4 linked regions of the Arabidopsis thaliana genome follow. The protein of the gene in region 4 interacts with the protein of the main gene of each other region in a biochemical or structural test. Each region holds a gene or a part of one and is shown on either strand. Other genes may lie near its edges.

Region 1 (7,902 bases), on a different chromosome or scaffold from region 4:
TGTAGAGATGTAAGTAAAAAGGTAGATTCTGTGGCTGTTGAACAGACTCCCTTGGAAGGTGTTGATGATGATAAGAAAGAAGAGAAACCCCCAACGGCGTTGAGTTCTGAGCTAGTTAAAAAAGTGGAAGAAGATGTACCCGTTTCTTCTGGGATTTCAAGGGATATGGATGCTGTAAGCATTGGTAGACCTATAACTGAAATGGTCAATAATGTTGCGTTTAATCATATGGACCAAAAAGATGTAAAGAAGATTAAGCAGGATTGTGATACTTCTGTGGGAGCTATAAAGGATACCTCAGCCGGTTTGGACTCATCTGTAACTAAAGGTAAAGTTGAGCCTGTGGAGGGGAATCTGGAAAATAGTGAAGTCAAGGAACGGTACTCAGGATTAAGAGCTACTCCAGGATTATCACCTAAAGAAGCTGAGGATCTTGAGAGACCGAATGGGCCTAAAACCAGTGATGCTGATGGAGATGAAGCGGGGGAATGTACGTCTGCTGCCAGAGATGCTTCTTCTGTTTCAGCTGCAGCTTCAGCTGGCTCTGAGATGGATGCCAGAGTTGAATTTGATCTAAATGAAGGTTTTGATGGAGACGATGCAAAACATGGGGACTCAAATAACTTCTCTGGATCTGTATTTTTGACGCCTACTCCTCTACAACCAGTTAAGACCTTACCTTTTCCGGTGGCTCCTGTATCTAGTGGAACTCGTGCATCTATTACTGTTGCTGCTGCTGCCAAAGGTCCGTTTGTTCCACCTGAAGATCTGTTGAGAAATAAAGGGGCTGTTGGTTGGAGAGGATCTGCTGCCACTAGTGCCTTCCGCCCAGCTGAGCCAAGAAAACCTCAGGATGTGTTACTGAGCATTAACAACACCTCTACATCTGATGCATCTACTTCTGCTGGCAAACAGACAAGGACGTTTCTGGATTTTGACTTGAATGTACCTGACGAGAGAGTCCTTGAAGATTTGGCTTCCCAAAGATCTGGAAATCCCACAAATTGTACATCTGATATCACCAATAGTTTTGACCAAGTACGTTCTGGGGTCATGGGTTCCGCCCTTGATCATTCTTCTGGAGGCCTTGATCTTGATCTAAACAAAGTTGATGATTCAACTGATATGATCAGCTACACAATGAACAGTAGTCATCGGCTAGATTCATCTTTTCAGCAGGTTAAATTACCATCGACTGGTGGTCGTAGAGATTTTGATTTAAATGATGGACCTGTGGGTGATGATGCAGCTGTTGAGCCATCTATGGTTCTAAATCAACATTCACGAAGTGGCTTGCCATCACAACCATCTCTCTCTGGAATTCGAGTGAATGGCGAAAACATGGCTAGTTTCTCAACTTGGTTTCCTGCTGCTAACGCTTATTCAGCTGTGAGCATGCCTCCAATTATGCCTGAGAGAGGTGATCAGCCTTTTCCAATGATTGCCACTCGTGGCCCACAGAGAATGTTGGGTCCAACAACTGGTGTTTCCTCATTTACCCCTGAAGGGTACAGGGGTCCTGTTTTGTCGTCGTCTCCAGCCATGCCATTTCAGTCCACAACGTTCCAGTATCCTGTCTTTCCTTTTGGAAACAGCTTCCCCGTTACCTCAGCGAATTTCCCTGGTGCTTCTACAGCACACATGGATTCTTCTTCAAGCGGGAGAGCTTGCTTCCCCGGTGTCAACTCTCAAATATTGGGTCCTGGAGTTCCAGTTCCGTCTAATTACCCAAGACCTTATATAGTTGGCCTCCCAAACGGTGGTAGCAATGGCGGTGTTTTGGACAATGGCGCGAAATGGTTTAGGTCAGGACTTGACTTAAATTCTGGTCCTGGAGGTCATGAAACAGAGGGAAGAGACGAATCAACACTTGTGGCAAGGCAATTATCCTCATCTGCTTCCTTACCTTTGAAGGAGGATCAAGCAAGAATGTATCAAATGTCAGGTGGTGTTCTGAAGAGGAAAGAACCGGAAGGAGGATGGGATGGATATAGGCAGTCCTCATGGCAATAACAGTAGCTCAGAATCTCAGTAGGCCACATGAGCTTGTAAGCCCTCGAAATCCACAAACCTTAGTGTTTTATGACCTCTCTTTTTGTTTTTCTCTCTCTTACTAATGTTTCAGTTACATTTTTACTCTGCTAGTTACTAAGAGATGAGAGTGAATGTGATGCCACAAGGCTTCATTGGCTGGCCTGCTCTGTACAAATGAGGCATGGGTGAGTCAATTTGCGACTTCACAGTGGTCTCAACCTTTTTAAGAACACAAACCTGACCTCTTGGTTTCACCATCATGTAGATCTTCCAAAAACAGTCCTAAATTCACCGGAGTGGCCATTCTCTTTCAGAAGAGTCATCAACAAGGTTCTCAGCGAGAGACCCGCATCACCACCTCCCCACAAAGAGTTTTAAAAGGTGAAAACACACTTTTAGGTCATTTTTCATGCATGTGTGTATCTCTATACACCGGCTCAAAAAACTAGCGATAAAACAAATGTTGGTGGCTTTTGAGTGTGTTCAAAATGATAAAAAAAAAAGTCTTTCGCATTGTGGCTTTACATGTGTGCGTTAGGTGATGGGGGTTGTATTATAGACACAAGATTAGTTACTTCTTTTTATCTTTCTTTTTCCAGTTTGTAGATTTATTACTTCTTGTGCTGGTTCTGTTTGAAATTTACAGGCTTCTTCTTACTTGTCACGCTTTTGTCGTTTGGTCTTGGATCTCATAATAGGACCAAATAAATTCGAATATGTGATTAAGGATTCACCTTTTTTCGAAAGAAGCAAGTGTTAACCACGTTAAGTCGTGAACTACTCCAAGTTTTGGCTACAAAATGGCTATAACAATTCTATAAGGGTCAAACCAAATCGAAACAAACAAACATCAGGGTCACATATACAAACAGAATCGAAGAAGCTACTAATTGAGGCTCATCTCTGCCAGAGTCTATGTAATTCCGACTTATCAGAATCACAAACTGGCCAATTAGAAAAGAAAAGAAAAAAAAAGAAGTGAACAATCATCAGATGGAATTGACTCATCAATTCTTCCCACACAGAATGTTTCTGCACAATAGAGAAGCCAATCTATAATCATTACACAAACAAACAAAACTGTATGAAGAAGCTAAAGGTTGCATAACCAAATTCTAGTATTACATAATTTCTTAGTTATATATTAAAAAGAGTGAAGATTATTGAACTTACGAGAGACATCCGCTGCGAGGCTTCTGCTTCTTCTTCTTCTCCTTTTGTTTCACTGCTGGTTTAATTACTACTTTAATAGCAGCATCAAATACGGCTTTCACATTCTGCAAAAGCCATGAACCAAAGAAAAGCATATAGTTTGCAAGTAAAGAGTCACCTAACACTAATGACTCCTAAGTTTCCAAACACACATGAACAAGTGTACCTGTTGAGTTTTTGAGCTACATTCAATGTAATAAGTCGCTCCGATATGCTTGCGGAGTTCCTCTCCCTGTAACACATGAATGATTAAATCATATAAAACCTAGAGAAGAGAGAGTCTAGAGAATGTCACAACAATCTTTTCGGTTTCTACAGGTTGAAAAAGCACACCTGTGATGTAGTTACCGGGGACAGTCCAGGATGATCAGACAAGTAATGTCTATCTTCACGAAGATCTAGATAACGGAACATTGTAAGAAACATTACATATATGTGATTCTCAAGCATTACACAAGGAAATATGTTGGCTCCACTCTTATAGCTATCTTACCCATTTTGGTACCAACAAGCACAATGGGGACTCCTGGTGCAAAGTGTTGGAGTTCAGGGATCCACTGAACAAAATAAACGCTTCAAAAACATCAGAAATTCACATTTCATTCTTTGTTTTCCCAGTAAGAAATACAATGAATCCAATTTCCACAAACCTTTTTAAACACATTCTCATAGCTAGCTCGGCTGATCAATGAGAAAGCCAACACAAAAACATCTGCTCCTCTGTAACTTAAAGGCCTTAGTCTGTTATAGTCTTCTTGCCCTGCAAACATGAAAGGGTACTCATAATCATAAAACTCTTAACAGTCACTAATCTTCAACACTCCCTATAAAGTTCTCTATCTAAGAATCCCAAATCAAAAGCAAACTTGCTAGATGTTAGAAAGATTAGAACCACATAACATTAGTGAACTTGGTTATTCTGAGATATTCAAGAGAGGGATACAGAAATGTTACTTACCGGCAGTGTCCCAAAGGCCTAAGTTCACAGTGATGCCTTCAACCACAACATTAACACTAAAGTTGTCAAAAACTGTTGGTATGTAGTCCTGATACAATCCATCAAGCAAATCTTTAACTTCACGAGAACAACAAATGCGCAATAGAGTAAGAGGAAACACTGGTGAATCAAGAAAGCCACTAACTTTACAATGTAAGATTTTTCAGAATCTCCAAAAAAGGATTATTTTTGCACAATCCCTAAAAAAGGAGCTAACTTTGAAATACCATGCTAAAATTCTCGGTGAAAGAGTTGAAATTTGACAGACCCAGAAGTATATTCAACTAAAAGTGACGAAATTGGAGATGCCCGAAAGAACAATTTGATGAAAAATCAGCGAAACTGTGATTTACTTGATCAAATTTTAAACTTACAGTAGGGAATTTGTTGCTAGTGTAGCAGATGAGCATACAAGTTTTTCCAACGGCACCATCTCCAACAGTCACACATTTGATGAATTTTGAAGCACTCGAAGCCATTCTAACTCACCAAAAGCAAACAACTTTCAACGAAGAAACGCCCAAAAACCAGAGAGATTGTGAGAGAGATAATAGAGAGATAAATGAAGTGATTAACATGAGGAAGTGTGGTAATAAACTATATAAACCCCATATGATTAAAAAAACTAAACTCTCTTTTTTTTCACTTTTCTTTCAATATTTTCAAAGTTTCAATTTTGTATTTTTGTCTCTTTCGTTTTTTGGTTTGAAGACTGAAGAGAGGGAAAGAAGAGGGGCTCACATGATATATCCATCTAATCCACATGACTTTTCTAAATCGTTTCATATTTATCGCTTTTACAAATGTATTAGATTTTAACCCGTGGTATACCGCGAGACGATTAATTTTTTAAAGGTAATATATATTAAAACTTGCAAATTTTATTTTTATAAAATATTTATATTTTACGGTTTATAATTGTTATTAAGTAACGCTATGCCACGAATCTATAAGACAATTGTTAAAAAACTGAAGTTTTAACCCTTATTAAAACAGCATATTAATAATATTTTATAATTTTATAAATATTGATTCAAATACATCCACCATATAACCGAATTCCAAAATAAAACTCGTTCTGTAATTTCTTTACCCGTCCCGTGAGTTTTTTTTTAAGTCGTAATTTTTAAAATTTAAGAATTATTTATTATATATAAAAGTTTTGCAAATTGTATCATTCTCTAATACATTTATATTTTATAGTTTAATTTTATATATAGTAACATTATACATATCACATAACATTTTTGGTTTTATATAATATTTTCTAAATTAGGATAATTTGATATGTTTAATATTAGTGGTCTTAAAAAATAATAAATTAAAGATTTTACCCGTATTGAAACGGTGGATTAATTATATTTTACTTTTTTATTAATGTTGATTCAAAAACCCGTCCTTCTAAATCCGTCTTGCCAAAAAGCCATTTATTTTATTCATATTAATTTTATTTATGATATGACTCTGAATTCTAAACATTTTAGCTAATAACATAGGAGTGCACCATATTTATTTAATAGGGGAATGTACCATATGACCCGAATGCACTTTTATCCAAATCCACCAAAAAAATCTTGCAAAAATACTATAGAGATAAGAAACGATAGTCGGTTTTAATAGGTATAAGATTAGCAAATATATTAGTTAGCTTAAATTAGTTAAAGAATACAAATTAAAAAGGTATATTACACTTTATTCGAATATAATATCAAAACTTATATAACACAGAGATTTGATAAATTTTTAATTGTTGAATACTTTTTTTTTGTACAAATTTTTATGTGATTAAGATTTATTGATTTCGTATATAAAATATTAAATTGTTTTACGAACTTATTTGTTTATAATTTGGTAACAGAAAGATATTTGAATATTCGGTATATTTTGCTTTAGTTTAGAAAATCTTTGATGACCCGTCTTTAGATTCAACAAGCCCTATAATTAAGAAATGAATATTGTCGTTAAATGATTTTGGTAACCTTAATGATGTCATTAAAAGATTTTGTTTTTGATTAAATTTTTCTAATGGTATTGTCATGTAATTAATTACAAAAATTAAGGTTACATTTAAAATGTATTTCCCAAATAATATAGTAGGATTAAAAGGATACTAAAAGCTAATCACATGCTTAAGAAGCATTGATTATAGTACGTTATTTCTTTTTCTTTATCGGTTGATCCTTCTTATTTTGTTTAGCATTAAAAACTGTTATATTTTGCCATCATTTTTTTTGTAAGATTCTGGCATTACTCATTACCAATTAATTGTATAGATTATTTCAATAAAACAAATTTTACCTGGTTCTAGCTAGGAGAAATGAACATAACTTGGTTAAACACATATGTAGTTATAGAAGAGAGAAAGATATATATATATATAGGAATTAGGATTAACTCTGAATTGGGGACTTTTAAGTTTTGGAAAATAGCAACCAAACTTTTCCTTCTTTTTTTCTGTAACATCTGCTATCAAACTTATTCATCAATCTTAGTAAAGTATAATTTTGTTATTTCAAAACAAAAGTATCCAAGCTAAATTGGGTTTTCATATCTGATTTGTGGGTTTGATAAAATTGGTTACACACTATCGTGCTGCCAAAAAAAACAATAGACCCAAAAGGCCCATGTCTTTGGCCTTGTATGGCTGTATCATCAGAGACAAGGCAAATGATCCATCAAATTGAGATAATAAACTAGTGCATATATAGTAATCTACGTGATGATTTGTTAATAGACAAGACGAGTTTGTTATTTGTTAATTAATGATAGATAGCAGATTTTAATGGAATACTCTTTATGAAGATCACATGAAAATAAGCTAATAACCGAAATTGTAATATCTTTCAATGAAAAAACAGGTGCGAATGTGCGATCATTCCTAATCATCTTATTTGCATGATGTTACTTTAATTTATGGTAAGTTGATCACACACATTTCAATGCATTTGTGATGAACTTAATAATTAACCAACCGAAAGCAAGAAGCTATATATATATCGCTTCTCTTGCCTATTTAGATCTCCAAGCCTCCACTTTCTTACACTTTCAACTTCCATTAAAAGCAATCAAAGCAAAAAAAAATGAAGATTCTTGTCTTGATTTTGTTTTCACTTAGCACCCTTCAAAATGTTTGTGGATTCGATTATAACGAAACAGAACTAGAGAGTGAGGAGAGTTTATTAAAGCTATACAACAGGTGGACGAGCCACCATCACGTTCCTATGAAGTTCGAAACAAAAGAAAATAGATTCTAAGTTTTATTAGGTCATTTTTCATGTTATTTCGGAAGACTTAGAATCTATTTTCTTTTGGCTTGAGTTTCATAGAAACGTGATGGTGGCTCGCCCACCTGTTATATAACTTTAATAAACTCTCCTCACTCTCTAGTTCTGTTTCGTTATAATCGAATCCACATATATTTTGGAGGATGCTGCTAAGTGAAAACAGAATCAAGGCAAGAATCTTCATTTTTTTTATCCTTACACAGCTATCAAATGAGAATGCGACCCTTCAAAGGCACAAGGCGTGAGGGTAACCATCGATCAATTCGCATTTGTAGATCCATTCAACGAGGCAGCCCTTCTCAAGGCTGTTGCAAGCCAACCTGTAACAGTTAGAATTGATGCTCATCATCCAGATTTTAAATTTTATTCAGGGGT
Region 2 (4,747 bases), on a different chromosome or scaffold from region 4:
CATGCAGGTTTCGAACCTGCGACCTTCGCGTTATTAGCACGACGCTCTAACCAACTGAGCTAATGGGCCATTTGTTCAAATTCTTCACAAGTCAGTTAAACTTCAAAAGCGAAATGAAGTGCATGTTGTGAAATGGCATCGTTTAGCAACATGACTATTTTTTTTTGGAACTTATATGTTGTTCTACACGAGGTAAGAACGGAGGCGCTGGCTAGTTGCATGGTGAAGACTGAAGAGAGCAGCTTCATCTTTTTGAGATTGCTCTGTTTTTGGGTTTGTTTCTCTTGTTTTGAGGATTGTGTGATGGATGAGAAGTGGAGTTTGAGAGGTTTATTTATAAGAAAATATATTAAAGAAGGTAATGACTGGCATAGTTGAATGCAAAATTCTGATTTTTGTATCACAATACTGAAACATTCAGAACTTTTAAAGACTTATATGCATCACAATTTTTTGGATGAAGTATTCAAGACAATAAAATATACCAAATTGCACCATTTGTTAAATTAGAATTGGAAGAATGAGAACAAGTAATATGTTCAAATTAGTAGACTTAAGTAAAGTTGAAGTGGAAAATCCATCATCTCTGTTTTCTTCAACTAGTCATTGAAATCGAAGGAAGAATAGAGAAGTGGTAAGTGCAATATTAGGTCTCAGCTAAAGCTGGAAACTATTCATCAATAAACAGAAATAATCGTTTTTTTAAGGATTAAGAGAGCTTATCACAACGAACTCTGGAACAATTTTTAAGCCCAATGTGTTTTCTTCTTAAGCCTTCACTAGAAGAGTGGAAGAGACAGAGAGACAGAGAGAGATACGTAAGAGAAGCGTAGAGAAATTACAAAATGGAGCAGGCTTTTTGTGCTTTGCTTTTCTTTTTCTTCTGCTTTGGAGGTTGAAGAACCACTCGGATCGCTGCATCAAATACTCCTTTCACGTTCTGCAATTTCATTAAAAAAAAGCTTTGAGAAAAGCTAAGTAAAGAAGCAGAGTAGTACTCAAAACAAAAGGGAAAGTTTTTGTGTCTTGCCTCTTGTGTTTTTGAACTGCACTCGATGTATGCGGGAGCTCCAATTAGTTTCTTCAGTTCCTCTCCCTTTGATGCCCAAAGTGGTGAACGGTTAAAAGGGTTCGTTTAAGTAACAGGCTAAGTAAATTGACACATTTCAAAGAAAAATTCTGTTTACCTGAGCAGTAGTAATTGGTACAGCGCCAGGGTGGTCAATGAAGAACTGTTTGTCATCCCGAAGATCTGGCATATATGATGAAACACAAAACATAAGCACCAGACGAAACTCATAACTATTAAAAGTAGGTCTAGACGGATCAGACAGCAGGCCGAAAGTTAAGCATTGGTATTAAAAGTAAGAAACAGAATCCGTTACACCAATTTTGGCACAACATCTTGTATAAGCCTTTTCTATTAGGTTTATAATTGCTAGACATCCAACAGCTGCTTACATGCATGTAGTTGTCTCTTACAATGGAGGTTAACTATCAAGAGAAAATGTGAGATATGATCCATAACGTATCGCGGAATTCATTAAAAATGATGACGAAACATCACAGACAAGCTTGTAAACCTAGATTATTTCAGGATTTGTGATACTCCAAAATCCAGGCCTAGTTTCCGCTAGACACAAAAGAGCTAAAAGGTACTACATGGATATATCTTGGACGTGAACAAATCAAATTAGCAGACATATATGTCAAAAAACGAGCTTACCTAGTTTGGTTCCAACAAGAACTATAGGGACACCAGGGGCATAATGCTTCAGCTCTGGGATCCACTGCAAAACGAAGATAAAGCAGCAAAAATCACAACCAAAAGACTTTCTTCAGAGTATTCATATCAAAACTTGTAGCAAACATTCATTTCAAAAACGTACCTTCTTGGAGACATTCTCATAACTAGCCTTACTGATAAGAGAGAATGCTAAGATGAAAACATCAGCACCGCGGTAACTCAAAGGTCTTAATCTGTTATAATCCTCCTGCCCTGTTTACAACAACAAAACAAAAGTTTCAGACCCCAAATCCCATAGCTGCCGCTACTACTAAGTAAGATCCCTATTATTTAGTCAGTACCTGCGGTATCCCATAGCCCAAGATTCACAGTGGCTCCATTAACAACCACATTTGCGCTAAAGTTATCGAAAACAGTCGGTACATAATCCTGTTCCACATGAATTTACAAGATTCAATGAGATACAAAGCTCCACAAATCCTCATAACACCAAAAAAAAATTATGGATCGATTCATGTATTGCCACAAGCTTTGGTCTCATCAATCAATAGAGAAGACAATTTTGAAGCTTGTAATTCACAGAACACAGAATATGATTCAATCTAAGGAAGGAACATTATACCGTAGGAAAAGTGTTGCTGGTGTAAGAAATCAGCAAACAGGTTTTACCAACAGCTCCGTCGCCAACGGTGACACACTTTATGAACCTCGAAGCGCTCATTTCTCTTCTTCTTCCTTCTCCACCAGAAATGGAGCTACGTACGTCTATGTATGATCACAACAAACAAAATTTTGAAAAAAAAAAAAAAGAATCTCTAATTCAAAAATAGCAACCTCAGATCTACAAAACCTGAGGAAACAACCTCAAATATAAGCTCTCAAAAGCGTTTTATTTTTCCTTTCAATTCACCATCTCCGGTACAAAGGGAACAAGAAAAACCCTAGAAATGTGAAAAGAGAGGAAACCCTAAATTGGAATCGGAAATGTGAGAGATCAAAGAAGGGATCAAAGAAGAAGAATGGACGACGTTAACAACGATGAATCGAATTCTAGAGAACAACAACAAGGGAGAGAGAAAGAGAAAGTAGAAGAAATGTGATGGCCGGAAATTTATGCCATTGAAGCGTTCACAAAACGAACAATCTCCTCCATCAACTTTCTCCGATTGTTTTGCTTTTTTTTTTTCTCGTTTCTTTTCTGTTTTATTTTGTTTTTAAAAAAATTTAACCTACAATTTGTTTTTTTTTTAAATTTTATTATTTTTTCAAAATTTTTTAAGTTGATTTCGTAAACTGAATTTCTATTGATATATTTGAAGGCTGAAGCCTCACAAAGGTTGTTAATTATGCGTTATACAATGGTATTGAAAATGTTTTTATGCGTCAATAATCATTCAACAGAATACATAAAATGAATACTTTTTTCATGAAGGACATTATCTAATATGTAATATCCAATGTTAAACTCAGAATACTAAAGATTCGTATAAACACACATCAAACTCCACAAGTTACAGACCATGAACCGCCTTGAAAATCCGAGGAATAAAACTAGACCTAAACCCGGGTTTACATTTCGAGCAGCAAGCAACACAATATCAGTCCCTTTCCGATTCTCAAACGACTCAAAGCAAAGCTTTTTTTTTTTTTAATAAAAACAAACCGACTTCTTTTGACCAACATGAGATTCTATACTTTGATCGCCTGGTATCTCTCACCAATGGCACCCTCTTTCTGCTTTTGGAACTCCATGAACTCAAGCGTAGTTGCAAAGAATGATTCAGCAGATGGATCAGAGGGCATCGATTCTTCGTTCTTGATCAGTTTTATCAGGCTTTCTACTGATTCAACTGTTATCTGTGGAACCCCTTTCTCATAGAAATAGAGGTACCTGCCATAATTCACATTACATAATGCTGCTTGCTGATCTGGGAAAATGAGAAGTAAAACAAACAATAAAAAGCGCTTACTTGTTTAGTATCTCGATGAAGAGGGTAACAGACCCTGTACTACCCCGAGCTGTGTTGGCCACTTGTTGAGCCGAATTTGCAATTTTAAGCGCTCGTTTCAGACAAAGTAGAACCCTGATTTCAAGTAAGAAACCTAATGAGCTATTTTAAACACACTGTGTTCTATCGCACAGAAGAAAGTATTACCTTTCTCCATCTTGTATGGTCTCACGATCTTCCAGCCAGAACAAATGAGAACAGGCATAAACAGCTCGACATTGATCAGGTTTCTTTAGAAGTTTCGCTGCATACTGCAAGAGTATAAGTTTTCCCTTGTCAGCCTTTAAGCAGAGACAATTGAATATGGTAAGAGACTAATTATCATATCATGATGAAATACCCCCGTAGCCTTGTGCGTTAATGTATCTCTATTCTCAACACCAAATACTTGCATCCTCTGCAGAGTTCCAATTATAAGTTGTAACGCAGTCACCTGGGCCTTTGAGTCCTGTTCAAAAGGCAAGTTTTTGACGCACGAGAGAGAGTTAAACTCACCTACTTGCTTTGGTTTAGACACGAGACATATGAACGTCCGCGAAAACATAACTAACCGAAATTTCTTCTTCGTATAAGATGTATGCCTGGGTGAAAAATTCGTATGCAATTGGTTCTTCATCACACTTATCCGCAGCCTGATGAAATAGGAAAGATCTGTGAGCATTTTACCGAGCAAGTGCATACTAAATAAACAGGTACGTAGTTTTACCTCAGCACATTGCAAGTACAACCGGAATGCCAGGTCAGGTGATGGAACATTAGGTAGCGCTTCGATAATCTGCAACAAGCAAAAAAATCCAACAATAAATACAAGAACTGATGACTGTAGTGGAGACAGAGCAATAACAGCAGTCTCTTTAGCTAATATCTACAAACTGTTGATTGAGAATTTTCAACGTTGTCAATCAGCTTGTATGAACTAACTTTGGCTAAGTTTTAAAAAAGTAATGTAGCTCTGAGACACATTGTTCTACCTAAAAACAGATCTGAACAC
Region 3 (3,662 bases), on a different chromosome or scaffold from region 4:
CCAGTTGTCACTGCTTTCTCTTAATGGTTTTACGAGTCAAATGCAGGTATCTCTACTTCCTGGAGAAAGGAAACCAACAAGTAACAGGCGATACAATCAAGAGCTTAGCTGAATTAATCAAAAGCGAGACAAAGAAGGTTGAGTCAGGCGCAGAGCCATTCATAAATAGTACTCTACGTTACATCGAGTTTCAGAGACAGCAAGAAGATGGTGGCATGAATGAGAAATACGAGAAAATCAAAATGGAATGGTTTGAATGAATTTATTTCTTGCATTCTGTTAGGCAAATCATCAATAATCAATGGCTTCTCGTCTTGTTGCAGAAGCATGAAGAGTAATCTTGAGAAATAAAACTTGTATCATTACTTTTCATTTCCTAGTTACACTCTCTACCAATAAACATGTTTGCAAAGTTTAAAACAGTAACATACAAAATATGGTCAGCTGAAGAAATGGTGGGAATGAAAACTGATTCAAAACATGTGGTGTTTGTGTGGAATTATGCATAGGACTGAATCGTAGAAGCAAAAGAAACGTTGATTCCGACAAACTCCATTAATATTAAGAACAAAAAGGACCAGTCAAACTTGGGTGTCTGTCCATTAACACATTGATTCATTCATTGTTAGAAGATTAATATACCAAAACCAAATACATAAAAACAGAGATTTCCAATCATCATAGAATGGAGCATGCCTTCTGCGCTTTGCTCTTCTTCTTCTTCTGCTTTGGCGGTTGCAACACCACTCGGATGGCTGCGTCAAACACCGCCTTCACATTCTGCACTCTCACATCATCAACATTAGCATTAACATTAACATTAGAAATCTGCAACAAGGGTATATATACTAATCTACGTACCTCTTGAGTTTTGGAACTGCATTCGATGTAAGTAGGTGCTCCTATTTGCTTCCTCAGCTCCTCTCCCTGAGCAGTAGTAATCGGAACAGCACCAGGATGGTCGATAAAGAACTGTTTATCATCTCGAAGATCTGGAGAGCAAAAACACAAACTCAGTCACAACTAATAAAGTAAAAGGAGCGAGATCAGGAAAAAACAATGGAAAACTCACCAAGCTTTGTTCCAACAAGGACGATGGGGACACCAGGCGCGTAATGTTTCAACTCCGGGATCCACTGCAAACACAATTTGTGACAAGAGTTCAAAAAATGTGACGAAAACTCAATAATATGAAACAAGATTGATGGATTTTTAAAACCTTTTTGGAGACGTTTTCATAACTGGCTTTACTGATAAGAGAGAAGGCCAAAATGAAAACATCTGCTCCACGGTAACTCAGTGGTCTTAATCTATTGTAATCCTCTTGCCCTGTTTATTCATACCCAAATTTTCAAAATCTTCAGATCCAAAAACCATATTCCAAATTTCAAACACCAAGATATATAGGAAAATGAAAAACCTGCAGTGTCCCACAATCCAAGATTCACAGTGCTTCCATTAACCACAACATTGGCACTGAAATTATCGAAAACGGTAGGCACATAATCCTGTATATCCACAAAAGAAACAAGAAACATGAGATATGTTGTTGTTGTGGTAATGAAACAAGAAACATGAAAGAATAATTGGGACATAACCGTAGGGAAAGTGTTGCTTGTGTAAGAAATCAACAAACAAGTTTTTCCGACAGCTCCATCACCAACCGTCACGCACTTTACGAACCTCGAAGCGCTCATTTCCCCTCAAAGTTTATTAATTTCAGGGAAATTTATAAAAAAAAAGATCTCAAAGATTTAGCCTTTGGAATTGGAGACTCTTGATATTTCTATTGATCGACCATCTGGGCATTGCGGATTCGAAACGATTGGAGTTTGTCCCAGAGATTAGAAACCCTATTACCCAAAAAGATAGAGGGGAAACAAAAAAAATGAAAACTGGAAGATGGCACAAAAACCGAAAAAAAACAAAGAGTTAGTTAGAGTTAGCTTTGGCCGGGAAAAATGGCGTTGAAACGTTCCGCTAACCAAACTTGTCTTTCTATTTCCGATTATTGTGGATTTCCTCTTTTAATAGCTCCCAACTAATCAAAATTACCAATCGATTGTGTGTTTATTTATGGGAAATCAAATTAGGCACTTGTCTTTTTCTGCCGCTCAAACGAATCATCTCTCTTTTCTTCTGTTACGTACACATCACGAGTGTTTGATTATCATTAAACTTGCTTACTTCTTTAAGCAATCCCCTTAACTACCTCACTAACTAACTAACTAACACTTCTCCAATGTTAATAATACCTTGGTAGGTCACCTTCCAATGATTTGACTTGGCTAAGAAGTAGTTGAATTGATGAAGTTTCAAGCAGTGATTCAATGAAAAGTCATTTAACCAATTTCATTTCGAAAACAGCATAAACTCAACCTAACATTCAACCAAAAGATTAGCTTGGATCAAGCAAAAACAGAGAGCAAATGGTAAAACAATTTGTCTTTCTCTCTTTAAGGAAGCAACCTCTTAACCTCCTCTTGATCCTCACCGATGCTCTTAGCTTGGTTGTACACAGACTCAAAGGCTTGCATACACACACTTGAAAACCCAACCATTGCCTGAAAGACATGAGGGAAACCCATCTGCAAGTTATTTAGAGTCATGGCTCTAGTCACACTCACTGACTTCTCATGCTTACTTTTCTCTTCTTCTGCTTTTCCTTTTAGCATCTCAACCTTTACTCTCTTCTCTATCACCGGGTTCTTTTTCCTACTCTCAGGTACCGAGTATGGACTATACTTGCTCTCAAGCGCTCTCAGCGAAGCCGATTTCTTCTCGAAATCTTTTAACATGGATTCTGTTCTCTTCTTTTGCTTATGCTCGTCGGCTTGTTGAGCCACAATTCCATGGACTGCTGTCAGAAAGCTTTTGATCCCTTCAGATGCTACTTTATCAGGGATCCTGTCAATAGCTAAATGCCATTCCTCGCAGAAGCTGTAGATCTTTGACTCGTAGCTACTCCTAACAAGTGGATTCTTGCTGAACTGGAACAGACTTAACCTGAGCCAGCCCGTGAGAGATTGTATGTAGTCACGTTGGGCCTTGACCAAGTTGCAGAAAGAGTGATGCCATTGTTGGACCTCGAGCTCAAGCTGAAGAGTTGATTGTCGGTGAAGCTCAGATGTTGGTTCAGTGGAGGGGATGGTGTTAAGGTACTTAAGCTGCTGCACAATATGGGTTTGAACCTGGTGGCTCTCGTACATACTCCTCCACATACACATTAGCCTACATTACATTCATACAAGAACCTTGTTCACATTGACCAACATAAGATACTTTAGGTTAATGAAGCAATGGGAATGCACAAAACAAACCCTTTAACAAGCTCGACAAGCTGAGGGTAAAGCTCGGTCTCTCTGAGCTTGATGATCTCGTTAGAGGCGCTTTGGATGGCTTGTGAAGATACTGAGAGCTGAGATTCTAACTTCTCGACGTCTTTCTTAGCCTTCTCAGTCTTGACATACTCAGCTCTCTTCATCTCAAGCCTCCTCACTTGCTCCACTTTCTTCTCATGATCCATCTTTATGCTCTCTGCATACTGCAACAAAACCCACATTCAAAAAACAACAAACACTCACTCACTACTTGGCAAGATATTTGTGCCAGTGTACATAACACATTATTCATCAGAATTAAGTACACACGTGGGTCTCTTA
Region 4 (8,291 bases):
CCTAAAGAAGAAAAGAAACTTATATTGATAAGAACAAACAATTTATGATTTATGAGTGACAACTTCACAAATAAGTCTCAAAATTACACCCATCAGGAAATTACCTCAATGCTAAGACAAGCTCAGGTTCCGGTCCAAGGGCATAAGCCCAGATGGCTTCCCAGTCAGTGGATTTATCTTTTTCTTCCCTTGCGTAGCCTATTCTGCTTTGACAAAGTTTGTTCAAAGCTTTGTCGAGTACAGATGCAAGCAGATGCAAAGCAAGACATCTCTGCCCGGGAATCTGATATATATATCAATAATACATACAAATCAATGAGCAGTGATAACGAAAAAAACGCAGTCTCAGCCTACAGGTTTTGTTCAGCTAAAGCCAAAATGGAGGGAAAAAAGAATTTAACCATTAATTAGCATCAAAATTAAAATATGTGGCAATCATACATACCACACTTCGTGCAAGAGCAATAGCTTCTTTGATAGTGTAACCTGCGGCCCCAGGATCCCCCTCGGTTCTCAAGAAATCACGTTCGGCAGCAGATTCAACACCAGACCACTTTCCACCTGTACAGTCAAAGTGTAAGCAACCTAAGATTGTCATGTGTTTCAGTTGTATTGTTCTACTCACCAGTTTCAGCTGGCGAGACAACATCTTCCTCAACAACATTCCCGTCAAAAGAAAATCTCAAGTCTCTGGCTGCCTCAACCCTCTCAGTCCATGCATCCCACACGAATCCTTGGGCTATCCCTGGCTTTTGCACCACACTTTTTTCTTTCGGTATTGCCATCACTTTAGGAGTGACAAAATGACCCTCAGTTCTTGAATTCTTTGCTGTTTCATCGGTGATGGAAACCCCCTGCACAGAATGCTTTCGCTTCTTCAATTTTGCCTCACCTCGTTTCTTCAAAATGGAGAGTAGTGCAGGATCCATCTTGTCCAATAACTCAGCCTGAGCCTCAGCAATCTCGTCGGGTGACATTGTCTGCAACTTTGCATGGTTCTCAACATCAATATCACTTTCAAGAGACGAAGACGCGTGTCGAGTCCCAAGTCCATTCGAAACAGCTAGGGGAGGAGAAGCGTTTAAAGGAACCCTTTCCTTGGTTCCCAAATTTTTAATAAACGGTGCTTTATCAGAAACAAACTCTCTCTGGTCTGATGCCCTGGCAGCCAGTAAAGTGTTGCTGGATGTAGTGGCCGCATCGGCTGAAGCAACATAGGGCGGTCTCGTTTCAATGATCTTAAGTTTCCTTGATTGCTGAGGGACATGTGTGGATGCAGGATCATCCCCAGAGACCATATCTTTCCACCTCCCGAGGTCCATGTCTTTCTTCTCTTTTCTTTGAAGCGGTTTAGCAAAAGCAGCAATGGAGTCTGCATTCATGAAACGTTCTTCTGCTTCTTCTTCTTCCTGATCGTCATTGTAATCCTTAGGTTGTGCTATGCTGCTTCCCACAGGAGCCAAATGCTACAAAATCAAACATGAGAAACAAAAATTAGATGTCTCAGAAAGCTGAATTACAAGGTCAGGCACGGTGAAAAATTGTGGAGTCCCAAGTACTAAACAACAGTAGAAGGTGCTTAAAATCTAGAAGAAGGCAACAAAAGGAAGATGGAAACCTAAAAAGCACGCACTAGAGGATTGGATTGGCTTACGGGTCCGTGAGAACGATGACGAGCGACGGGGAAGGAAAGAAGGGAGGGCCTTGGGGGAAGCGGCTTGCTTGGAGGCTTATTCTCCGATATTCCTTTCTCCACGATGCTCCCGACAAGGCTCGCCAAGACGTTGTTCGGCTGTTCCGGATTGACTCTCCCGCTACTTTGCTCCATCACTCTAAACCCTCTCTCGCCTCCGCTCAGCAAAACGGAAAACTCTTTAAAACTCCGTGTCGTCCCGATAGCTTATAAGAACAAGTAAAAAATAACAAGAAAACCCCTTTCTGACTTTTTAATTATAAAATTGGAACATCAACTTTAATCCTGTGCAAAACAAACCATATAGTCATAGTCTATATTTGAACCAAAAGTTGTCGCTTTAGTGCAATGAAGAACATGATTAAATCACTCAAGAGACGGGTATGTGATGTTCATTCAGTTTTAGGACTTGGACCATAATCTTTGTAAACTTGGTAAATGAGCTAAGGAATTGATTTGTTAACAACATTTCAAAACTCCACATAAGATAACATTCTTGTTGCTATTACCACATTCGTCTTCGTAGTCAGACAAACAAGAAACAACTACAGTCTCTACAACCATTGATTTACATTCTTCTATTTTCAATCTTAATCTCTTTCCGGCGTCACTCCCGTTACTCTTCTTGAACTCAGATTCCCTGCATACGACCATGCTTTCTCTGTTTCTCCCACTATTCCCTTCTCTCTCGTCCCATTCCTCTTCACTGAATACAGCGGCGGTGCTCTCCTCGGGCTTCTTGATGCTACACTTAGGGCAGGCGTTGCAAATGGTGAACCGTGCGGAGAGCTCTGCACAGAGAACGCTTTTTGAGGGTTGAGTCCATTGATGCTGAATAGGGATAGCGATTCTGTGACAGAGATGGATCTTCTCATGGCATCATCAACATAAAGCACATCATCTATTCTGGCCGTGATGTTGAAGGCCATGCTCTCCATCACCCTAGAGTAACTCTCCAGAATTGATTGCCCTACATCCTGCAAGAACACACACAAACTCTTAAATTATCTAAGCATCGTTTCATGATGCAACCAGCAAAGCACACTCCAAACTATAATGTACCTTGTTGTACTGAATCTTGTTCATGTCCAGCGTTGTCTGGGGAAGTCCCGGGAAACGGATCCTGAGACTCTGCAAGAGGGTCTCGGCTCTCTGCACAAGGAAATCATTTCTTTCGTTGTCATTAACAAGGCCTTTAACCTTGCCACCCCAAGAAGACAGCTTTAGTTTCGCCTGCTTCTTGTGCCTCCTCCCATTCTTTTGTCTCCAAACATGCACAGCCGCCTCAATCCGGTTGGCGATTTCAAGAGTCTGATGTTCCGATGAGAGATCAAGACAGTCCAGGAGGCATTCGGGAGAGAACTTGTTTGCAGTTAAGTACTGGTAGATGATCTCTCCAAGACATTCCTTCCCGCTCTGCATTAAGTTTAAAATCATAACTCAATGAGCTAATCACATATAACGGTAAAAGAATTTATGCTCCAGCAGCAATGAAAAAGCTAATCCTTGAGCTCGAGAAGGCGCATACCTTGGGCAAAGTCTCCAAGTAAGGGTCGGGAATCTCCATTTCGGCAAGCACGCCACTGTTAATTGCCAATGCAGCCTTGAGAATCTGGTTAGCAAAGTCCCGACACTGCTGCAGTTTCTTCCTGGCCTCTTCTGACAAACCGTTAGGCGGAACCTTAGGGCAAGGCAGCCACCACTTGTCCTCCTGCCTAACGGAAGCTGGAGAATTGTAAGAATCCTTGTCACAATCACCAAGAACTATGCCGCGATCAGTGTACCAGAACTCAGTATCGGAGAAAGCGTCAAGCATATCGATCAACATAGCATCGAGCTTCTTGAGAGCAGGGAGATTGGCATAGAGATCAGAACGTGGACGGGTCTCCATGATCTCATAAGTTCCGCCTCCAGGGAACTGCTGAATGGAAGGAATGAGCTCAACGATAGAATCGCTAACACAGAGCAGCCACTCAAGTTCTCTGCGCCACATGGCCTTCTTCTGAGGAGCAAGAGGCTCAAGCCTCCATAGTTCGCCAAACACAGTCGCTGTGTGGACACTAGCCTTATTAAAAAACTAGAAACCCCTACTATATATACCAACTAACAAAAAGGGAAGAAGATTGAGATGGTACCAGAGAGATTGGTGATGGCGTTGGAGATAGCAAGCGCCGTACAAACCCCTTTACCTCCACCAGACATGTCTTCCCCGAGAAGTAGCTTAGCAAATCTCTCCTTCATCATCTCAATTTCTGAAACCCAATAGGAAACAAAAGGGAAATTGAATCCTAGTGTTCATCAATGTTTACAAAAGAGGTCAAATTTGGAAACTTTTATACCGGATAAATCGTTGTCTGGTTGTTTGTCATCCCAGACCACATCTTTGCCGCCGATCACCGGAAGCATGACTGGGGCCGGGAAGTAAAATCCTCTACCAGCGACAACTCGAGGGGAAGAAGGGATGGAGCTAGAGGCACCCTCGCCGTCGAAGCGGTGGCAGGAGAAGCTGCTGGAACTCTCGGACTCGCTAATGTCGGCGCTGGGACTGTAACTTCCGCATCTCTCGGAAGAGACTTCGTCGTCTTCCTCAGAAGATAAGCTCCCCATTATTGAAGCGGCAGAGATCTAATAACGGCTCAAAGAGTCCACATTTGGGTTAAGAGACAGACAGAGAAAGGAAGAAGAAGGAAGTGGATGTGATGATGATGCTTGTTTGATAAAAAGCAAAGCTCAGAGAGAAAGAGAGAGAGAGATGAGAGATAACAAATAAAAAAGACTCCTTTCATTTCCTCACTCACACTCTCTCTCTTCTTTTCTCTCCCATCCATCCATACTCACGGCGTTATCCTCTGCCGTTAGGGACAGGTATGAGGTTGGTAACAGATAAACCGTTAACTCACGGTCGTCACATTTTTTAACGGCGAGATTAAATTATATCCCACGGCCGTTCTCATAAGAGGAGCATGCGCTTGTGTTATATCAACCGTTGGATATTAAAAGTGAACCATCAGGATCTTTTCTACAGAGCAGAATTGAGAATCTCGAAGCGACCGAGAAAATAAAGAAAGGCTGACATTGTGTGGACTAGAAGTATTCCTTGTCGGATCATCAGACTCTCTCGTACCACACCGGCCTGAACTACGTTGCACCATATCTATCCTCGTGATTTTACGCCACGTGTATTACGCCCATTCGCCTGATCTACACTGTCCATAGTATTCTGGCGTCATTAAAGTATTCACATCGTACGGTCTAGATTGCGTTTGGCTTACTTATTTCGTGGATTCCGCTGTTTTCGGTTATGGTTTTTTCACGCAACGAATCTAAGCCGTTGATTATATTACTCTTCTTAATTCAATTCATTAAAGTACCTATTTAATGCCCTTTGAATTCGGGTTAATATAGTAATCTACAATATTAATGTCACTGATCACTAGAATATGCTATGGATTGGTGTTGATTCACATGCATGGCTTAATTAGTTGACTCTCTGCTCTTTTTTTTTCTTCTCTAAAAGGCTTTTAACCTTCCAAATAAACGTTTGTTTGTCTTGGCATTATTAGCAAATCTTTTCCATTGCCATGTTTTTCATTCGATTGACAGCCTTGTAATTTGTAATTGCAAGGTCAACAAAAACTTTGACCAAATAGAACAACTTTCTATACCAATAAACATTCTACATCTACCGGTGGATAATAATTTAAATTTTTATTTCATCGTTAAAGTCTGTTTATTCGAAATTAATGTTTCTAATATGTTATGTATGGTTTTTTTTTTTTTTTAATTTACTCTCTCTCTTCAAACTATACTATTTTGCTTGGTGATATGGTAGAGTTACTTGGTTGATTCATATGAAAACATTGCATTTGCCTACAAAAATTAACTTCAAACTTAGCAATAACCGTTACAAAACAGTAAAATTTTCATCAAATTTGGGTATACATTACAATTTTTGAAGTATATATAATAATTGTGCAACATATATCTAGCTATTGAAATTATAAAGAATAAAGAACTCAATATAATAAAATACATATCCCTAAATCAGCCATTGACGATTGGTCTGAGTAGAGTCATTAAGGAGTGGTGTGTTTATTGGAGGCTCGGCCACACAACAAAGCATTCTTAGGCAAAAGATATTCATCTCTAAGAGAGTGTGTTGGAGAATAAACTCGAAGGTAGAATTGTTGACCCAAGTATTGCCTCGCCCAATATTCACTCCTTAGATTCCACATCCCCACATTGTCCAGTGCCACATATACGGCTGTCCAAGATTCTGGATATACCTACAACAACCAAATACTAGTTTTGAGATGATTTTTTAAAATTTTTGGTAAGATATATGGAGTTAGAAACTATTTGTACCTGAGTGGTGGAGCGAGAAATAGCATCCCTAAGATTATACTCTCGTCTGCTTGCTTTTGACCATGTTCCTCTATCCGTCCTGTGGACAGTACTCACAAACATCAGATGCATGCAATGCATTATTACTAGCTACTATATATAGAGGACGATAGATATAGCTAATCTTTAATTATTCTCACCCAACAACCCAAAAACTATATCCATCGAGGTGGTAGCTTTGGACGATCTTCTCGCGGTTTTGAAATATGATTTCAAGGAAGTCTCTATGGTGTGCTCCCATCACTGACGTCTCCATTCTCATCCCTCTTCCTCTTCTCGGCTTGTCAGGTATGCTTCCCATTTTGAAAACGCCTTTGATCTTGAAGTAATCCGCAAGCTTTAGCGGAGTATCTCCAGGTACAAACGACACTCCGTTTATGGCGTAGCGTTGCTTCCTCTTCACTAGTGCCGCTGAGCTTTCCAATATCAAAGTCCTAGAAATCTTGATTCGACCATAGTGGTACGAACCCTGAGGGTTAGGCCTTGGCCCAGACGCGGTTAGATTGGTCCTAATGGACCGGGCTTGTTTGATAGACCAATCTAGTTCATCGGCAGGTTGTTGAACATGGACTGAATTAGCAGAAGATGAGTGGCTATGTCTTGAGTTGGAGTAGTGGATAGTAGATGAGACCAAGAGTTTTTTGGCGACAAATTTTGTGGAGACGACAATGTCATAGTCTTGGTCAGGCTGGTCCATGGTGACCAAGACCGAGTAAGACTGTCCAACGTGAATGTCGAGAGAGGTATACATGGACTGGACTGTGTGTGTTCCCTCTACCTCAACGAGCTTCATCTGATGACCTTGGATTCTGAAATTCAGAGTGTGTTGAAGCCCTACATTCGATATCCTAAATCTGTATGTTTTACCTGATAATTGTTCCACAACAAAAAATAAATGATGAGATAATATAATGCTTTTCTTCGTAATCAAAGTATTTGAGTGTTTTTAGGATGAACCTTTGTGGACGGTGATGGAAGACATGTAACTGACTCCTTGGCCATTGATCAAAACCCCTTGAGGCAAAGGTAGCTTGTGTCCTCTATCCAAAATTGCCTTCAAAACCTGAATAATGTTACATTTAATTATGGTCCTTGTATAACAATGACAAATACTAAAACGAACATAATTTGTTAATTCAAGAAAGAAATACCTTGTGGTCATGCTTAAACCAATCACCAATGAGGAAGGTGAAATCTCCAGCGGGTTCAGGGAAAGGGACGGGGATGCGAGGGCGGCTGAGGATACGGAAACCGCCAAAACCACCGGCAGCTTTGTGAACGGCGAGGGAAGGGAAATAGAAGAAACTACCGATCTGGTCTTTGACTTGGATGGCATAAGTGTAGTTTTTACCCGGTGGGATTGGACAAGTCGTCCCATACACTCCATCTTGGTAAGAATTCTTCCTCAGTTGCACTCCGTTCCTTCATTAGTATTTACCATTTTGTATTATATTAATTCATTGATATTATATTAACATGAAAACTTGACGTCTCGCCACCAATATAATCTCTAACAAGAATGTGAAGAAACAACACTAGTGCATGCAAATTGGCTCCATCATGCCATTTACCAAACTCCAATATCTATTTCCTCTAATATAACTAATGAATGAAAGAAAATGGTAGAGAAGGGGAGCTAGATAAATGGTACCAAGATAAGAGAAAGGGCTCGTCGAGATCGTTGTGAACATTGATGATCAAATTGTCATTGGTGACTGAGTAAATATCGGGTCCTGGATATTGTCCGTTTATCAGGATTCCCTGCGTGTATGAATAGAATATAAAGCATGCATGATCGAGCAAACAAAAACAGAAAGCATCCCGCCATTTTTGTGGATGTTGGAAAAAAAAAAAAATACCCTTTGAGGAATGCCAAGTGGAGAAATGTTGCCGTAAGTGACTCTCCAGTCGAAAAAACGGTAGGGATCATCAGCTTGAACAAAAGAAATGATGGATATCGTCATCATCATCATCGTCCAAACGGCCCCATTTAGCCACCAGCACATACTCGCTTTGACAAGAAGAAGAAGAAGATAAAGTTGGAAGAGAAAGCTTCAACTCTGTTTTGTAGTAACGGAACAAATGACTCTGGTGTCGTATTTAAAGTCCAATGGGGAGGGGGAAGCTTTTCCAATCAGCTAATTCCGTGTTTTTATTTCAACCTGTAATATATTATAAGGCCACCCCACCTACT

What was found.
Region 1: of the proteins of ROPGEF1 (region 4) and ROP10, one has a biochemical effect on the other in vitro, tested with the Arabidopsis thaliana proteins (one study listed by BioGRID).
Region 2: of the proteins of ROPGEF1 (region 4) and ARAC1, one has a biochemical effect on the other in vitro, tested with the Arabidopsis thaliana proteins (one study listed by BioGRID).
Region 3: the proteins of ROPGEF1 (region 4) and ROP1 form a complex in vitro, tested with the Arabidopsis thaliana proteins (one study listed by BioGRID).

What each region holds. Positions count from the first base shown.
Region 1 is NC_003074.8:17,728,381-17,736,282, reverse strand, and holds ROP10 (RHO-related protein from plants 10), read right to left. Parts: upstream 4,947-7,902; 5' UTR 4,723-4,946; coding exon 4,618-4,722; intron 4,293-4,617; coding exon 4,205-4,292; intron 4,007-4,204; coding exon 3,897-4,006; intron 3,804-3,896; coding exon 3,740-3,803; intron 3,645-3,739; coding exon 3,580-3,644; intron 3,479-3,579; coding exon 3,413-3,478; coding exon of another isoform or gene 3,371-3,412; exon of another isoform or gene 3,312-3,370; coding exon 3,208-3,311; intron 3,067-3,207; coding exon 3,042-3,066; 3' UTR 2,770-3,041; downstream 1-2,769. Other genes in the region: protein SUO, read left to right, coding at 1-2,013. UniProt on the Arabidopsis thaliana protein: Acts as a negative regulator of abscisic acid (ABA) responses.
Region 2 is NC_003071.7:7,738,034-7,742,780, reverse strand, and holds ARAC1 (RAC-like 1), read right to left. Parts: upstream 2,995-4,747; 5' UTR 2,469-2,994; coding exon 2,370-2,468; intron 2,177-2,369; coding exon 2,089-2,176; intron 2,000-2,088; coding exon 1,890-1,999; intron 1,791-1,889; coding exon 1,727-1,790; intron 1,253-1,726; coding exon 1,188-1,252; intron 1,097-1,187; coding exon 1,031-1,096; intron 941-1,030; coding exon 839-940; 3' UTR 501-838; downstream 1-500. Other genes in the region: VPS35A (vacuolar protein sorting-associated 35A-like protein), read right to left, coding at 3,437-3,638, 3,718-3,831, 3,904-4,007, 4,097-4,204, 4,308-4,388, 4,463-4,531. UniProt on the Arabidopsis thaliana protein: Inactive GDP-bound Rho GTPases reside in the cytosol, are found in a complex with Rho GDP-dissociation inhibitors (Rho GDIs), and are released from the GDI protein in order to translocate to membranes upon activation.
Region 3 is NC_003074.8:19,041,232-19,044,893, reverse strand, and holds ROP1 (RHO-related protein from plants 1), read right to left. Parts: upstream 2,037-3,662; 5' UTR 1,698-2,036; coding exon 1,599-1,697; intron 1,509-1,598; coding exon 1,421-1,508; intron 1,330-1,420; coding exon 1,220-1,329; intron 1,137-1,219; coding exon 1,073-1,136; intron 993-1,072; coding exon 862-992; intron 781-861; coding exon 679-780; 3' UTR 501-678; downstream 1-500. Other genes in the region: VPS35C (VPS35 homolog C), read left to right, coding at 47-260; AT3G51290 (pyridoxal-phosphate-dependent serine hydroxymethyltransferase, putative (DUF632)), read right to left, coding at 679-780, 862-992, 1,073-1,136, 1,220-1,329, 1,421-1,508, 2,478-3,231, 3,321-3,544. UniProt on the Arabidopsis thaliana protein: May be involved in cell polarity control during the actin-dependent tip growth of pollen tubes. May regulate callose synthase 1 (CALS1) activity through the interaction with UGT1.
Region 4 is NC_003075.7:17,982,652-17,990,942, reverse strand, and holds ROPGEF1 (rho guanyl-nucleotide exchange factor 1), read right to left. Parts: upstream 4,560-8,291; 5' UTR 4,301-4,559; coding exon 4,033-4,300; intron 3,946-4,032; coding exon 3,829-3,945; intron 3,743-3,828; coding exon 3,222-3,742; intron 3,110-3,221; coding exon 2,756-3,109; intron 2,671-2,755; coding exon 2,284-2,670; 3' UTR 2,074-2,283; downstream 1-2,073. Other genes in the region: IYO (RPAP1-like, carboxy-terminal protein), read right to left, coding at 1-1, 105-283, 446-561, 626-1,466, 1,655-1,828; sks9 (SKU5 similar 9), read right to left, coding at 5,770-5,979, 6,059-6,137, 6,238-6,964, 7,055-7,160, 7,249-7,519, 7,749-7,858, 7,957-8,103. UniProt on the Arabidopsis thaliana protein: Guanine-nucleotide exchange factor (GEF) that acts as an activator of Rop (Rho of plants) GTPases by promoting the exchange of GDP for GTP. Acts downstream of PRK2 in the control of polarized pollen tube growth by activating ARAC11/ROP1.